3 linked regions of the Drosophila melanogaster genome follow. The protein of the gene in region 2 interacts with the protein of the main gene of each other region in a pairwise test. Each region holds a gene or a part of one and is shown on either strand. Other genes may lie near its edges. The genes, in order: CG8925, Dim1 and t-Grip84.

Region 1 (6,099 bases), on a different chromosome or scaffold from region 2:
GAATATGTGGAAGGTGCAGATGGCCTGGAAGATCGAGAGCAGGGCGCACCACATGCTCTGCCATGGCGTTAGGCAGCCCAAGAGCCGCTCCAGGAGCTTAGTGTGCAACAGATCTAGGTTCTCCATGTTCCCATCGCTCAACATGGGCGAGGCCTCGCCCGATCTCACATCCGTTAGCTCCATTGTGGCCCGGTTCGAAGTGCAACCGCTTACGCCGTGCGTTGCACGTCAACTGAGTTAGAATGTTGACTTTCGAAAATATATCTTATGAAATTTAAATTGGTTTCAGATGCAAGATTCGGTGGGCCGACGTTCTGAAGTGCTCCGAGGTGTCGAGAGCCGTGAGTGCGTATGTCAGAGAGATTCGGCCGTGTCTCTGGTTTTTATGCAGGCGCGCCGTTGTTTCTGATTTCTGTGGGGGCCCTAAGATAATGTCCGAACACAGCGCGATGTTGCGATAGTCAAATTACTTGTTAGCTCCGTCTTCACACCCGGCCAAATGAGTCATTAAAGAATCACTTGATGACTTTATAATTTTGTAGACTGTCGACCTTTCTGGGGAGTGCCTTGACCAACTCCACCCACAAGGCTAATGCACACTCTTCGACGAGTCAATTTCATTTGGAGCATCTGGCCAACATAAAGTAATCTTTATAGAACCGAACTTTCTTTCAGTTCGACAGTCGTTATCTTATCGGTGACTGTCAATTTTTGATTGCTTCATGTAAATTCAGTGAATAGTTTTCATAGACTACAGTCTTAAACAATTGGTTATTGTTTGTCTTCCCAAGATAACACAGTGGTTATCAAGGAAAAAAGAAGAAGAACACAGAAACAATTAAATCAGTACCTCCTGTGCAATAACTTTTATCAAAAATGCTTATTTATTACCTATTTTACTACTAGTCAATTAAGTCTCTATAAATGATTAGACAAATACTTCAATATTTCAAGCTGATAGATGGGTTTGACAGAACAGAAACTTTAATATTGAGAGATGTCAAAGTATTTCCTCTAATTGTTTTATGAACTTTTCCAAATGAGCTAACACTTCCTCTCAGTTGCATCACGCAACATGCTGAACCTAACCATTCCCCCCACTTATTCCCCAATTTACAGCCGCTCAATTGGTATAATTAACCTCTGCAAAATAACTGTGCTCAGGCAATCGAACTTCTTGTGTTCTTTGAATGACCATTGCATTTGCCATTGGTTCTGGCCAAGCTCTATTACCCACCGTTCCGCAGATCGTGTGTGTCAAGGTCGCATGTGGTTTTTGCTCAGCTCCCTTCGATTTGGGGCTACTTTTTCAGTTGGACATTAGCACGATAGACGATGATTACGCTGATTAGCGGTGGCATCGAAACTTCAAAACATAGGCAAATGATGCACACGCAACCCGCATGCCGATAAATGGCTCCTAAGTACTCAGTGTTGTGACAGCCTCCCTGAATGTTGGTCAAAGGTGCTCGAAGGTCGAGAGGCATTTCAAAAAATATTTAAAACAAAATCAAAGCCAAGTGGGTCTGAAATTGCTGGGCCGAAATTGGCATGCGAGCTACCTTGATTGCTGGCCAACAAACTCAAGTGGCAAGCTCTTCAGTGTGTTATCACTTGTTTTGTTACTGTTACTCGTTTATAGCAAACTCGTTTGCTGATAACGTTTTGTAATGTCAAACTCTCTTTCGTTTTCCACTCATTGTCAACACCTTTCAGATGATATACACATCCAATTAGCCGCCTATTATTAGTGCAAATTACTTTACAGAGTTTACAGCTATCAATCAATTTGAGTTGCATAATGTTTTCTTCCGGTCTAAGCACAAACTATCAAACATCCGGGGAAGTTTGGGAGGGGTTTGGTGGGCGGGTGGTTTTAGCGTACAAAAATATTTGATTTCGATGTTTTTCGGGCGACGCAATCAACTGGTCAAATATTTGCCAAGCCATAAAACCAAAACTCACCTGGAAGACAAACATGAACAGGTGAAAAGTGGTGGGCAACTGGAACAGGCAGAGCAGCAGGGTCCAAAGAAAACTCCAGCGGGTGTAGTGGCCCAGGAAATTTGATATCACATCGCTGTCCTCATCCTGACTGAGATCCCTGCTCGGTGGCTGCTCCGTTTGCTCCGCTGAAGGTGGTTTCTTCAGGTCCTCGGAATATCGTCGAAAGTCCAATGCTATGACACTGATTTCCGGAGTCTTTGGGCCGGGCCTTGTCTCGCGATATCCGCCATACAGGTTCGCCTCCAGGCTGCCCCTGCCCTTGTCCCGCGGCCCGCCAACGCAATCGAAATTCAGGGAACCGCGACGCAGCACGCCACTCATATCGAGGAGGTATATATATAGGTTTTTTTTTTTGTATATGGACGATATCAAGCGATTTCGAAACCCTCCGATTTTATTACTCCACTTGGTGCGCCAATCGATCGATTGAAAATAAGTACAAAACCGCGTCGATCGTTAGTATCTCAGCCGTCGGCATCGATCTGGAACCGTTAACGGTTTGGGGCTCTGTTATAAGCACTCTGTAAATCTGCAAAAGAGCGAAAGCTATATGCATGGCATTGCCAGTATCGAAAAAGCTCAACTCAAAGCTTCGACTACTACCCCACGATCAATTGATTTGGTATAGGCCTGCGAAAGCTTTCGCTCGACTTGAGTGACATTCACTTCCGCCAGGACTATCCATATCTCCATATCGACACAATTGCTTTTGTTTTAATTTATTTATTTATTTATTTATTTATGTTTTATTTTGACACTATAATTGCGTTTGCTTTGGTAATTTTGATTTACAACAATTTTCATAAATTTATGTCTGTGTTTCGCTCAAACACTTTAACTTAACAATTAATTTAATGTTGTTTTAGATTCGGGTATTCCGTTTGTTTGAAGCTTAATGAAATCTCTTACTAATGACAAATAGTACATAACAAAGCTGATATGATCTTAGCGGGTAAGTACAATAGGCAACAAAAATAAATGTAAAATAAGCGACATTATATTGCGGAAAATAATACAAAATACAAATGAGCACATAACAACTTGATAGGTAAGTACAACAAGTAATTCAACAGGTTGGCTTTCTCTAATTTGATTGTTTTTGTTTTTCTCTACATATACATACACAAACGCACACATATCCATATACACATAATTGTATACATTGTTAAATGCATTATATTGGAAATTTATTTGTTCATTTCATATACATATATTCTTTGATGGCTCCAAACAGTAAAACTCCTTGTATGTCCTGTGTCTCCTCCACACACAAACAGACAATATATACAAATCCATAATTGACCGATACTTAGAGACTGATCTGTTGTAGATACGTTTAAGGGTAGACTAAGGATTAATTGACTACGATTACTAGAGATTACAAATGGTCGCTTAAATCTGCCATTCTCATTTCTCTTTTCTGTGGAAGATTGAGCTTCTCTGCTTATTCATCTCGTATTTGGAAAACATTTATTAATAGACAACAAGAAGACGACGACGACGACGACGAGATTATGCATACGTTGAGATATTGACAAGACATATTGACAACATTATAAATTGTTTTTCTAAAATTTTCTTTGTGTGAACTTTAATTCGTTTGTAATTGAATTGGTAATTCCGTAATTAAGCGCTCTGTATTTACTGGGTAATTTTTTATTTTTATTACTCTTCCTAGGGAGCTTGTGGCGCAATCACGTACAAAAAAATACTTCCTTATTTTTAAAACCATTTAAATAAAATTATAAAATAATATAATAAAGCTGTATTAAAATAAGTTTGTAAGCTCCCATTGCAAACCCTCCCTAAACTTGGGTCAAATTTATAACCTTCGATGGGAACCGAAGAACTTAAGCTACTTCGAGTGTTTTTGGTAACATTCTGGGTGTTCTGTGTGTTTTCAGTACTTAGATTATGACATAAGCTACAAGCCATTGTTGTTAGTTAGTAAGATACATACTCATTACGTGCTACGCAAACAAGGTCCTGCCTGACATGTGACGTTCTCCAGCGAATTGGCATTACTTTTGGACATTCATCGAATCGTTACCATACATTTTAGGTGGCTTCAGGCGGTGGATATGTCGGGTGGCGTGGCAGATTGGGGGTTAAGTGGGGGGCAGAGAGACAGCAACTGCGTTGGATACGCTGACTTCTAATCGGCATACTTTGGACCAGCCAAAATACTTTGTTCCTCGTGGGCTGAGCAGGTTAGGATTGGCAATGGCGGTCATTACACCTGCTTGGCGGCACTGGCATTGGCACTTGAGCCACCCTGGTTGTCTGTCTTCTGACGCACAGCGGTTTCGGGCAGGAAGAGCACCACAAAGCCGCCAAAGATGCTCCAGGCGGTGAGCAGAGTCATCAAGAGATGGCCCTCGATCTTGTTCTGAAAGACATAAGTTCAGGGTTACGGTTTATCCTTATGAGCATGTCCCTACAAGAGGTAAACTCACCAGTAGCGACAGGTATGGTGTGAGGATCAAGGCCAAACCGGCGGCCACATTGCAGGCACCCACGCCCACATTGCGTATGGGCGTGGGATACAGTTCCGCCGTGTACACCGGCATTATGGTATTGCCAGCACTAATGGTGAACTTGCCCATCATCAGGAATGTGATCTTCAGCCAGAGCAGATCCGCATGCCCCTCGGTGATCGCCGCACAGCAGCAGGCGACGCCGGCACAGATCAAAGTGGCGCAAAAGAGCCACTTCTTGCCCACTTTGGTGATGATGTACATGGCCACGGCGATGGCGGGTATTTCGACTAGGCCAGCTAGCGCCTGTGGAAAACATAGATAAAACATAACATTCAGGAGGGGATGAGGACGACGAGGGCAAGTGGACAAGATGTCAGCTGTCGGCTGGGCGCATTAAATCAGAGCGGCATCAAAGGTGCGCTCGGCGTTGTCAAAATAAATTATGCAATAAATTAGCTGAAAACCTCGCTGTCACGCCCATTGGCGAATGCTGGACAGTGCTGAGCAGTTGGCTGGCTAAAGTCGAGAAATTCGGACTCGAATTGCACACAAATAATGTGCTTAGTAGATAATTTAAGGTTATTTAGGATTTTTAGGTAATAAAACACATACACAGCTTTCATATTATACATTAAAATATTGTTACCTGTACGAAAATCTTTAGACATGTCTGGCGCAAACTGAACATCTTTAGCCCACTTATTCCATTAGCTTTTCGTTCCACAACAAAAAATAAAAAAAAAAACAACCAAACAAACAAACATGGATTTCGGACAACATTAGGTGCTTAGTGCTTTAAAACAATCAAATCCCGAAAAAATGCCAAACATGCCGAACATATTGTACACTCAAGGCCCGCCAGCACTGTGCTCTCAACATTTTGCTGGCCATCTGCCAGGTGGAAGGGGCTAAGATGGCTGCGAGTGGCGCTGCGGCCGCGACAGGATTTATCTACTATATTGTGGATGGATTGGAGGTGGGTGTGGGCCAGTAACATTATAATTCGATTGCAAGCACATTTTCACACCGTCCAGCCAGTCGGAGAACACTTGACATCGAACAGACAGTCTTTAGTCAGCGTCTGATGGAATTGCTGACAAATCCAATTAGGTGGCCATCAGTGCCACCGAAAATGGTGAACCTCTTGGCGGTGGCTAAATGCCTGATTGATCCTATATGTTAACAAGATTTCGGCTGAAGATTCCCATGCCGTCGCCGATGATTTGCCTAAGTGGATTGAACTGCGCCCGCCCTACGTATACTTAATTTCTTAAAAGCAGCATAACTCACCGAATTCAAGTAGACATTGCCGCCAAAGGAGCTCATGTTAAGAATAATGCCGTAGTATACCAGATTCATGGTGAACCAGATGCAAAAGAAGCAAATGGAGATGCGACGCAGGTAACTGGAGCGGAACAGGTAGGTAACGTCCTGCGTACTGCTCTCCTGCGTCGGCGGCGTCAGTTGATAATCGGCGGGCAGCTGGCGACCATTGAACTTTGCGGCCGCCTCAATAATTCGACGCACTTCATCGATTCGACCCTTGACCAGCAGCCAGCGCGGCGATTCCGGCACCACAAACCTAACGTACAGAAGCACCCAAAATTAATCA
Region 2 (5,554 bases):
GGGTAATGAACAACAACGTATTCGTACTTAGAGACTGTTGTCTATTATTGTTAATAGAACTCTAAAAGTTAAGTAGTGATACTCGGATTTATTTTTCACACTTTATCTGTAAAACAAAAGTGCAGGCGTACGAATATATATATTTGTATGCGGCGCCATACTGAAGAGAAAGTTTATACATATATTTCTATAGATATATCGCCAGTCGCCACCATATATCGGTCTTTCTATCTCTATCTATAGCTCTCCCTCTTACGGAATGAAAACTCTTCTAGTGTCTTAACCAGCAGCCAAATACTTAAAGTATTGTAATTTAGAAATTTTATAGAGTGCACCGCAACTTCGCATCGAATCCAGCGATGTCGTGTTATCCTTGCAACAAAAGTACTCTGACCGAAGACCTTAAGGACCTCGAGGGGTCCGCCCGAAGATGCCTAAATGTCCTTAACGCGTAGCTAGACAAAAGGTGACGACTTTCCAGGAACATTTTCGCATTTCCCCGCTCCTGCCTGTTCGAAAATGAATTGTTGTTGGATATATAATAGAGTTGTTGTCAGAATATAAAGTTAGAAAGCGAATATAGAAAAATGACGAACATGTATGTAAACAATTTCCTAACTCATCCCACCTACGCATCTCTATTTTTCTATGAAAAGCTAAAGCCAAGGGAAGGGAAATGAATCAAATAACTCGGATTACTCAAATCAAAATACACAATTAGTGGTCGAAAGGCGAGATAATATGATAGAGCTGCATTTTGAGGTGCCCCAGCCCCCCAGAGACTTTCTAACACGCCTGAGCCTCAGCCTGAGCCTGATTTGTACCTATCCTATGCATAAGTATATATTTATATACACCACACATGTATAAATCGAGCCCTATTTGAATATTTTTTAATACTAGTAAGTATTTTGTACGACGAGATCAACTCGAAAGGCGCCTAGGAAATGGAAATGGTATATCAAAAGGAAAATCCCCCAGAAACACAAACATTTAATTGTTGGTTATATGCTGAAGAACGTAAGCGTAAATGAAAATTCGTAAATGAAAATATTGTAATTGTAGCGTTGATTTGTTTCAAATGAGCAAACATATACATATAACTAATAACGTAGATAAATATACATACCTATATTTAATGAAACCAATGAGCAAACCTAACTTGTGTAAGTCAAAGAGTAGCGGAACCAATTGTTAAACCTAAGCATAATAAATCTGTAATAAAACTGAGCTGTTGTATTAAATGAACAATAACAATGTTGAAGACAAAGTTTGGATATCGGCACCAATGCGTAGGCCATTCAATTTGTGAACTTCGAATACGAGTACTTAGTGTTTTTACTAGAAAAGACTTCTTTCCTTTTCCCGCGAATGTTTCGTTGCGATGTTTTCTTTTATACTTTTGTACTAACGCCCCCCTTTCCATAGTCCGACCTAATTTCCATAATGTTTATAAGCTCGATTGATGTCTATATGTACCTCTAGCTAAACTCAAAGCATAATTGATCAAATTGGTAAATGAAAGCAATTCGAAATTAAAACGAATATGTGTACTACTAACGCGCAAATACAAGAATTATTAATGAAAGTTTACTTTAAAGAACGGATTAAAATTTTTAAAAGTATGAGCTATTAAAGAACAAACTTAGTTAAATGTTATATATGAAAAACCAAGAAATTGATGTACATGTTAGCGATATTAATGAGAAATGTGACAAGTGAAAAATAAACCAGAAGAAAATACATATACACAAGTTGCCAAGAGACAGTCGCTTCTATTTGGGATCATCAATTTGTTACGCCTAAATGGGATACATTAAACTAAGTCGGCGGGGTACGCGACCCACCTTAGTATCTGTACTTGGTAGAGTAGTCCTTGGGCGAGACTACCAGACCACGGCCCTTACGGGCACCTCGATACACCGTTTCCACAATGTCGATCATCTCCTGCTTGTCCTCCAGTGGCCAGTTGATCTTGTTGTTGTTGCCCGTGCCCAAATCGATCATGATGTGCTTGTTGCGGAAGAAGAACATCACCGTGCAAGGATCGTACAACTCGTACATCTTGTTGAAGTCCGGCACCTCGGTAATGTCCACCAAATAGATGACAGCAAAGTTCTTCACCTTCTCGGCGATGCTGTACATGACCTCATCCATTTTCATGCAGGCGGGGTCCCAATCGTGACCGAAACGTATTACCTGAAGGGGAAACAATTCTGATTATTTATGTCTGATGGGTGATTGACCAAGTGGTGCTCCACGAAGCAGTGTCTTCTTAAACCGACTGCGATTACTCACAACTACTCGGTCCTCCTCGGAGAGAATGGCCTGGTCCACCTGCCAGCCATTGTGCAAATGAGGGAGCATATACGACATCCTGGCGCGTTTTTTATTTCAAGTTACCGCAGAAAAATTAAAACATAAACAAAGTCTCACAAAATAGTGATGTACTAACAATGATAGCATAACCTTATCGATTACATATCGATGACAGCTGTCAGCGGAAACGGAACCATGTGGCTATCGAAATTTAAAATGTGTTTCCCAATAAAACGCAGTGCAAGAACGTTCGGTTTATAATTAAGTTTTTAATAGGCATTTAGTAATTAGTAGCGTCCTTATCAGTTCAAGTATTTCTGCTTAAAGCTATCTATGTGTTCCAGCACCCTGACCGTCATCTCGTTGATATACTCGTCCCGTCCCTGCTCGGTAAATGGATCGGGAGCACTGCGTCGCGAGACGTAGTGATTGGGTAGGTTCACTTTGTGGCGACCGATGGACTTGATGATCAGCCACAGGATGTAGAAGCTGAACCACACCGTAAAGTAGAGCGGGATGTACCAGAGCTTGCGGCCAATGTAGAAGTAGCTGTACTTCTTCACACGTGGCTCTGGTGGCGGCGGAGGAGGTGGTGGTGGTTCCGTCGGCGGTGGCGGTGGCGGTGGTGGTGGTGGCGGTGGAGGAGGAGGCGGTGGGTGGTGGACATGGTGATGGTGGTGTGGATGATCATCGTAAATGACATCCGGATAGGAATCATCCGGATACGAGGGCTGGTAGTCGAAGTGAGTCGGATAGTGATCGTGGTGGTGATCATGCACGTGATCATGATCGGGTGCATGGTCGTGATCGTGATCATCCGGCTTGGGAGCCGCAGATTCTGGGTGAGATTGCAGCCAACCGGGCGGTGGTGTGGCATACTCCATATTGGGATCATATTTGTGATCGTCGTCGGGACCTGAACCATCATTGTGCAGAGATGGCAGACCGCCGATGTCCCCATCTCCGCCGCCACCGCCACCCCCATCTCCACCATCAGCAGGAGATCCCATATCCATGCCATCTGCAGGAGCAGGACCGCTCATACTGTCCTGATCCTTGGAAGGAATGTTGTCCTGTGCACTAGCTGGCAGGGTTCCGATGGAATCATCATTACCGGGGTCATCATCAGCCGGCGGGGAAGCACTCGCCATACTGGCCGCCGTATCCTTGTCGGCATTGCTATTGGGCACTGGACCGGGATATTTGTAACCATTGGAAGAAGGCCCCGGATATATGTATCCAGCGTTGCTCAGCCCTCCAGATGCGGGTGGCAGGTAACTGGTCACGGTATCCGATGGCAATGCAGCCTTGGGATCCTGTGACGGTGATGGATACTTTGTGTTCAACGGCGGAAAGGAGTACGTATCGCCTGGAGAAACATAGGAGTTCACCGAATTGGAGCCGGCGGCCACCTTGCCATCCTGTCCATGGGAATGATCGTGACTGTGGTCGTGACTGTGATCATGATTGTGTCCCTTGAACAGACCAGCGGCGGTTCCCTCGCCAGGAGCAAAACGATCGGCGATTCCTTAGGTTAAATACAAAGATAAGTATGTATAAAAATATTTGTTAGAGAATTTAAGAACTGTTTTGATTTGTATGCTCTATTGATGCGATGATGATACCTTTCTTATAGCTGGGCCTCGAAGCTTGATAGCGGGATGGATTTTGTGATGATGAAGAGTAGTAGGATGGTATACCTTGCGGGTAAATACGTGTCTTCGTTGGTCGGGAGTTGTACTGCTGCGGCTTGCCGCCTCGCAGCAACGGAGTTATCAGTTGGCCAAAGGGATACGCTGTCCTGTAGTCCACGGCGCGTCCTGTGGAGGCTCCTTGTACGACTGGCTCTGTTTGCTCCTCGGATACTGGAGCAGGATCATCGACTTTTTCCGCCTCTGTGACAACTAACGGGGTGACAAACAGTGGGGAACTGGTTGTTCCTTCGGGTTGATGGTTGTAAGGAATAGGAGGTGGACTTGTCGTGGATGTCGATGTAATCACTGGAGCTCCAGTGGTGGATACCACATTGTCACTGGAGTTGAAGCTGCGCGGGCAGGAAGTGTCAGGAGACTTGATCACCGATTCGTAAACACTTGCAACTTACGTCCTCGGAAATATCAAATCCGTATTTAGAGCCTTGAAGATACGTGGTCCCTGATCGTTTGCAGCTCCAGTGCCGCTGACCAAAACCTGAGAATAGGCTTGGACTCGTCCAAATCCAAGGATTAGACTGAGACCCACCACCAGCGCCCAGTTGGCGCCTTCTAAACGCATCGTGTGATCTCGTATCTTGATATCGTTTCACCTCGGAACACTTTATAAATATAATTATAGCTGCGCACTATCACTAAGTTTCCTTGGGGGCTATACTGTCCTCATGTCCGCCGGAGCTCGGAAACAAAAACACCACCGCACCGTGTCGCGAGAAATTTTGGAATACAACGGAGCACTGGGCCGACCATTGGTTTTATTCGACTCCGTTTGGGCAAGTTCGTGATTTCGTTTTTTCATGACCCAGATTCCGGGCAGAAGGTGCTACTAGAAGTGATCTATATACCAACGATCTGAACGGGCAGAACAGCACTTTCATTTCGTCGACATCGCAGGTGCTAATTGATTGTTACTCCACATTTCTGATGGCATCTTCCATTATGTGCTCCCGGCCGACTGGGATTTGTGCTTGTGGAGTGTAACTAGAGTTTGAATCCGTGGCTATATGGTGAATACACCTCATGTGGTACTAGGCGTGTGGCTCCAATTTTGCAACTAATTAGTAACATTTCGAATAGTCATGAAAAATGAGGATGTATCTGCTCAATCTTATTGATCAGGTTAAACAGAAAAAACCATACAAATAGTTGGAATAATTTCGTAATTTATTAAAAATACTTGATATTGGAGGTGCCACACGCGTGTTAGTTACCTATGTAAATATTACTTCTACTTAACGTCTACAAAATACAAAACACAATATTCTATCATTACTCTAGTAACTTTTTTAAACACATTGATGAATGAAAAATACAAATATTTCCACATCAGGATCTAATATTGACCGATTTCTGTTGATAAAGTAAAGACATAAATATCTGTCAACTTCCTGGCCGCGGATGTGGGTCAGTAACTGCGGCACTTGCTGCGGCGTGCCTCTCCGGATTAGCACCTGTTCGGGCGTGCTATATAGTATTGCCCCTCCCAGTTATCATCTTGGTATTAAGGTATCTGCGGAGAACCA
Region 3 (6,099 bases), on a different chromosome or scaffold from region 2:
AATTCAAATTGGCAGCGGGCTTTGGCCCCTCCAACGAATCGGGCTATACCCAGACTGAGGCTGAGGCTGCGGGACTGCATTAAAATCTCTTTACCGCCATTTAAAATAATTTACGATCTTATGCAAATCGCCGCTTTCGTTGCACTAGCCCCCAAACTTGCCACCGTGACTCGACATAATGCTCGTTGGCCAGAAATTAAACGCACACATCGATTATTCACGCCCATTGTGCGCCACTTAACAATAACTTAAAAGTGGAAGAGCGCCACAGGTGTCATACGCATAAGACAAGCTCACACTTGTGGATAATGGATTGATAGCTTTTTGAATCTCAAAGGATTAATAAAGTAAATGAAAGAGTTAACTTCATTTTGCAAGAACGCTCTTATAATATAGTTAAGTAAACACAGCACTAAATGTTCCATGGGTCATGGAGAGTAAAAAGCACGGGTGATTTGGCGAAGCTGTTGGACACGTTTTGATGCCGTTGATTAAATATTGGAAGCTATTTGATCCTTATCCAAATCGGAGAACTCAATTAACTCCCCAAGTCGTTTGAGCAATTGTTTACAGGAGTCCCGTTCCGCAATGTCTTTCGTCTTAGCCAACTGGCTAACCAACTCCAAAATGCTGGTCAAAAAGCTTTTAAATTCCTCTTCGTACTCGACCACTTCCTGCTCGAGTTCTTTGGTACTTTTCTCTCCTATCGAGGATTCCACAAAGTCACAAAAGTTGAGACACACATGACCGAGTGTGTATAGAGATTTCACAAACGTGTTGGCAGTGGGTAGTAACCCCAGACGCAGGCATTCTTCTACGGTGCTCTCCAATTTGTTTAGTACCTCGTCGATACATTTTGCCTTGTCCACCGTTAAGGTCAAAGATTGCCATCGGGGTTCGGTGATGTCCTGGATGATGTGGTTTTCCAGACTTAGCATACACATTAGCATGCGGTGGCGAAGTTTTCCAGATCGATTGGTTAGCTGGAGACCCGTACCCTCACAAGGACTTTGCCAAAGGACTGTCAAATGATGTTTCACATAGTGCAAAAAAAACAGGACACGCTGTAACATCTGCAATTGCTCTAGGAGCTCCGGGTAGATAATAAAGCTTAGTGGCCATTTTGTTTCATAGCCAAGAGCTAATGCCTCGTAGCCGTAGAGATTCAGGACCTCCGGAGGATCCTGCTCGCTGCAGCTCTCCTTCTCCTCCTCTTCTTCATCTTCTACAGCTCTCTGTGCTTTATGTTGCCTACCCAATAGTGTGGCTACATCGCAAACCTTAAGCTGACAGCGAACATTATCCTTAATGAAATCATTGGACTTATGCAGGGTCTCTGCTAGAAGAGTCTGTAGCTTCTCGGGAATTAACCTTTCCACATTGTACTTTAGGTACTCATGGCATTTGTGCAGAAAAGTTTCGGAGAAGCCTTCCTCCTGCAGCAGGAAATAGGACTTCAAATTGCGAATGTGTAAAGGCAAATTGTGCTCCTCCACCAAAACCTTGAGAAACTTATGTGCTGGCAGCTCATAGCTTGTTTTAATGATCTCCTCATGTCCCAAATCGCCTTGACTATAAGCTAGTGGCCGCTGTAGCAGCTTCAATGAAACATTGCACTGCCTCAAAATGTTTAGGTACTTTCCGGCCAGAAAAATATCATCCGCCTGGGAAAGCAAGAAACCGGGCAAACGGTCTGGCAAAAGGCGGTACCGTTCCGCCCAGTAGGCGTGGCAACATTTCTCCGGCGCCAAAAGAGTACTGCTCATTGTACTCGAGGGCTCCGTGTCCTCCACAAAAAACTCATGCTGCGTATCGAATAGAACACCCTTTTGCATCCAAAGCTGAACAATTTTCATGTAAGCTCGACTAGTCGAAGTCAAAATTTTGTTCACTCGTTCCTTTAGATCTATATCAGTGTCCTTCAGATCCCGGTAGAACTGGTCCAGCAATGTTAGGACCTGGGCGCTGGTCAAATTGCCACGGGCACTGCTGGCCATGTTGGAAAAAGTCTTCAAAATAGGCAACCAAGGACGCACCTGTCGCACCAGATCCTTGAGATCCAACTTCTTGTCCTGCAAATCCGTTTCCAACTTGGACTGTAGATCATAATAGTCCTGCAGTTGATCACTTAAGGCAGTGGCTAAGGTCAGTCGTGTTCTTCCGCAGTTAGGCGACATATTGGTCTCCTCTATATAGCTCTGTACACTAATATAATAACCTATCAGGGGTAATGTTTCATTGGCCAAAGCCCTAAAAGCCCCAGTGAAGGTCTTTTTCAATCGAAAGCGAATCTTGGCTATATCCACTGCAGACATTTCGGAAATCTGATCGATCTGAATATCAGGCTTTACATATGCAGATGGAACACCCGAGAAGGCATAGATTAGATCCCTCATCAGCAACTGTTCCTGACAAGGCAAACTCATCTTGGCCAAATTTTCGTTGGCGAGAAAGTAACCCCCAACGCTCTCGAAGATCCAGGACTCCTGCCGTGGCAGACTTGAGGACGAGCTCGTATTGCAATTATGACCGCTGTTTTCGCTTCCTGATGGACGCATTTTTTCGTCTACGGATTCCTCACGGTCGTGAATTTTCCTCATCTGCCGCTCCAGCTCGTCCTTACTGAGGTGAAAGCGCACTTTGTTCGCGAAGTCACTTTCCGATTTGTCGGAGTTCATGGTGAATAAGAAAATATATCAAGAACAGAGATCGATTTCGAAGCTTAAAATTATTTAAGTGTTCTCTGAATGATTATAATAACTAAGGTATGTTGGATAGATTGAAATTAAATAATTAAATATATGTAAAGTTAGTAGAGTTTTTGGTTGTTATAACAATAGGTGCTAGTGCTGAGTACACCTAACTTCTGCTAGTTCTGATTTCCATTTCTGCTTATTATCAAACTTAACTCTAGCCATTTGTGAAAGGTGGTTACTTTCGGTGATATCCGCTGAATCGTCGAGGTAAATCAACTTGGTTTTGAATCTGGATCCCCATCGATCATCGTGCCCAGCGGCGACATCTTCGCCTCTGGTTTCGTCGAAGTTTGGAGCCACAGGTGCATTTCAAGCCCATACTTCAACGATTCAAGTTGAGCTGGGCGATCCGACGCCCAGTTGTCAATCAAGCGGAGCAGCAGAACCAACTGACGAACGTGCTGAGAATTTTCCATCAATTTCTACGCGATGGGAACTTCGAACTTTCTATGTGCTTGTATCCAAAATATCCGCACACAGTGAGAAATTTTTTTTTTGGTACATATTATTAGGGTGCTTAAACAAATTTGTGAAATCTTAAAACTATGAATTGGATTTAATGAAAATGATTTGCAGTGAGTGAATTATGTATGTGAATATGTGTATTGTTTATTATATTGATAAAAATCAATTTTTCCTCTGCATGTGAAACACTTGAAAGTATCGCACAGGCAACGAGATAACCATGAGAACACTTTATATATGGGCCTTTGTCGCGTGAGTGCCACTTGTCGTGTTTTTGTTGCTACCGCTGTAGCTGCAGTTGCTGTTGCACATGTTGTTGTTATAGTTGTTGTTATTGTCTGTGCCCCCTTTTTGTTGCTGCGCTCGTTTTCTCGCTGTTCTCATTCTAAACAATGCAAATGCAGCGTCAGCGGCTCTGCCAGCAACATTAGCATAAATAAATAAATAACCGTACTGGCAACGAGCGGGTAAATAACAAAATAGCAACACGGCCAGCAGACCGACCACAGCCAGTAACATTAATCTACGCTCCAAAAGCTTTCCGATAGACGTTCCATGGGCTTTTATCCTCCTCGCATTTTACGAGTATAGCAGACACCCAAAACACTTGTTTGCCTTCGTCGCCTAGCGGCGCTTGCACTTCGAAGACTGGGCGCGGTACAAGGGATCGCCTAGAAACGCCCACACACGAACTAGTGCAAGTACAGTGGTAATATGATATGGAGAAATGCCCGATTAAAAGTGTATAAAATATTTTTTTTAATTTTAAAACAAATTTTGCACTACCATGGGCGTTAATCTTTCTTTGTTTTAATATTTCTAAATTAAATAATAAATATTAAACATTAACATTAACATATTAAATATTAACATGAAACGTCGTATACTGCCACTTGACAAGGAAGATAATTTCAAAAATATTTGATTATTCCAAATTGTACATTCCATTTAATAATCTAATTTGGATATATATGTATATTGTATATTTTGAACTGAGTCACATACCAAATTTGACCACCCATTTTAGTTGTTTTGCGACCAATGTGCCTAGGCCGCCGATTACAAAAGCAACACCTTCGCCTTCACCGTAAAATGGGCCTCCCCTGCGTGTTTCACATGTGTCGCATGTGACTACCGTGGATTTTGCAGCCGCTTCTGCCGGCAATCAAATTGAGTGCAAAGCTCGGTTAAAAGCCGAGTATTCAAGTATTCGAGTGTTCGGACAGCAGAAGAGGTGTGATGTTTGATGGGTGTGTGTGTATGTGTGCAGCGAATGCAAAAACAGTTTCGATTTTTTTTTCAATTTTTCCACCTTCTGTTTTTGTCTCGATTCGGTGGGGCCCCAACTTATTGCATTATTTATGTACGAGTAGTACGATTTTTCTGGGTTCCCCAGTAAGCCACACGCACACGGTCCGCACCAGAAAATTGTATAAACAAAACGCGGAAAGCAACAAAAAAAAAAAAACGTTAAAATAAAAAAAAAAACAGTATAAGTATCAGTAGCGGTGACAATCGCAAGTGCAGGGCTCTCTCTCTGTCTCAAGTCTTGAGTCTCAAGTCGAGGAGTCTACTGCTCACACTCACTCAAAGTTTGCCGAGGTGGAGAAACAAACTCGGCGGCATTCTCAGTCAAACAACAAACGCAACTGAAGTAACAACGGTTCCGTACCGCGTACCGCCCCCAAAACAAAAGTGAAATTCTATTAGCTACCCGCCGTCTTGGCCAATCCGCCCAGGAATATCGCAGTGCTTAGCCATTCGCGAAAGTTATGGTATTTGATTCCGTTGAAAATCGGACTGAGTGCTGTGCTTAATGTTCCAGCTGCGCCGGGAAGTGTGGAGCGAGCGGTTGGGAGTCTGGGTGCAGCGCGTCCTCGTCATCGTCCTGCATCTGTGGCACCGCTCCAGTATGTCCTTTGTCCGGCGTCGCCAGGAGGCGTTCAAGTGGATTAGGCGCCGACTGGCCAGAAGGCAGTGTCACGTGAGTACACCGAAAGAAATAGGGTAGTAGCAACGTGACCACATCATTTAGCCACTTCTAAAGCCATTAAACTGATATACTTAATCTCAGTTGCTACAGAATTTAATGGGCTTTGAAATGAGATCATTGGTGAACAAATAAATATATAGACTTGACTGGATAGAGTCAATGTGGAAATAGAATAGCTATGTATTTAGGGTATTCTCTTGAAGTAGTTGCTCAATTTATCAATTACGAAAGCCAATGAGCGAGTGTTATTCGAATTTCAATATTTTAAGGCTGCTTTAGACATTACTAAACAGCTGTTTACTACTTTTTTAATAGCCAGCTTTAACAGAATATTAACGAAGTTGCATAGCCAAAATGAAATTGACACTGATCACAGGAGTACCATTAATCTACAAGAACAACTTAATAAATAGAAGCATCTGTGTAGTCATTAATATTATTCGCAAAAAGTGACTTTTTTCATTACCTTAGTACTTAGCACTTTCTAGAGTCAATAAAGTCAGTGCTCTATTATACAGGCCGGCAAAATAAGTTTTGTATTTTATCAAGGTATGCCTAATTACTAACCCTGAACATGTTTTTGTCCCTTTTCTGACTATCCAATTAGAGTTATGTATTTATTACCCAACTTAGATCATCCTGCACTAGATCCCCAAGTGGGTCATCACTCCAGCTCACAACCTTTAGATTTTAGCTGGAATTCAATTAAAAGTTATTCAGCCAGGCTGCAAATTCAATTAACTACAATCATTTCGGGCATTCGGTGCAATTTTTAGCTAATTCTGGTTTTCCTGCGAATCGGGGCACAGCCGGCTGCTGAAGAAGGGTTAGAAAAGTTTAGCACTCGCGTGACTCGCTATAATTTCTCCATCGGAGTTGCTGGTT

What was found.
Region 1: the proteins of Dim1 (region 2) and CG8925 interact in a two-hybrid assay, tested with the Drosophila melanogaster proteins (one large-scale study listed by BioGRID).
Region 3: the proteins of Dim1 (region 2) and t-Grip84 interact in a two-hybrid assay, tested with the Drosophila melanogaster proteins (one large-scale study listed by BioGRID).

Annotation. Positions count from the first base shown.
Region 1 is NT_033777.3:16,168,386-16,174,484, reverse strand, and holds the start of CG8925 (uncharacterized protein), read right to left. Parts: upstream 2,495-6,099; 5' UTR 2,329-2,494; coding exon 1,966-2,328; intron 178-1,965; coding exon 1-177. Other genes in the region: CG6006 (uncharacterized protein), read right to left, coding at 4,241-4,396, 4,464-4,790, 5,778-6,069.
Region 2 is NT_033779.5:4,400,159-4,405,712, reverse strand, and holds Dim1 (Dim1), read right to left. Parts: upstream 2,463-5,554; 5' UTR 2,377-2,462; coding exon 2,299-2,376; intron 2,200-2,298; coding exon 1,849-2,199; 3' UTR 1,758-1,848; downstream 1-1,757. Other genes in the region: CG33003 (uncharacterized protein), read right to left, coding at 2,622-3,847, 3,945-4,363, 4,424-4,593.
Region 3 is NT_037436.4:7,588,241-7,594,339, forward strand, and holds t-Grip84 (testis-specific gamma-tubulin ring protein 84), read right to left. Parts: upstream 2,759-6,099; 5' UTR 2,679-2,758; coding exon 492-2,678; 3' UTR 368-491; downstream 1-367. Other genes in the region: Pura (Puratrophin-1-like), read left to right, coding at 5,038-5,205.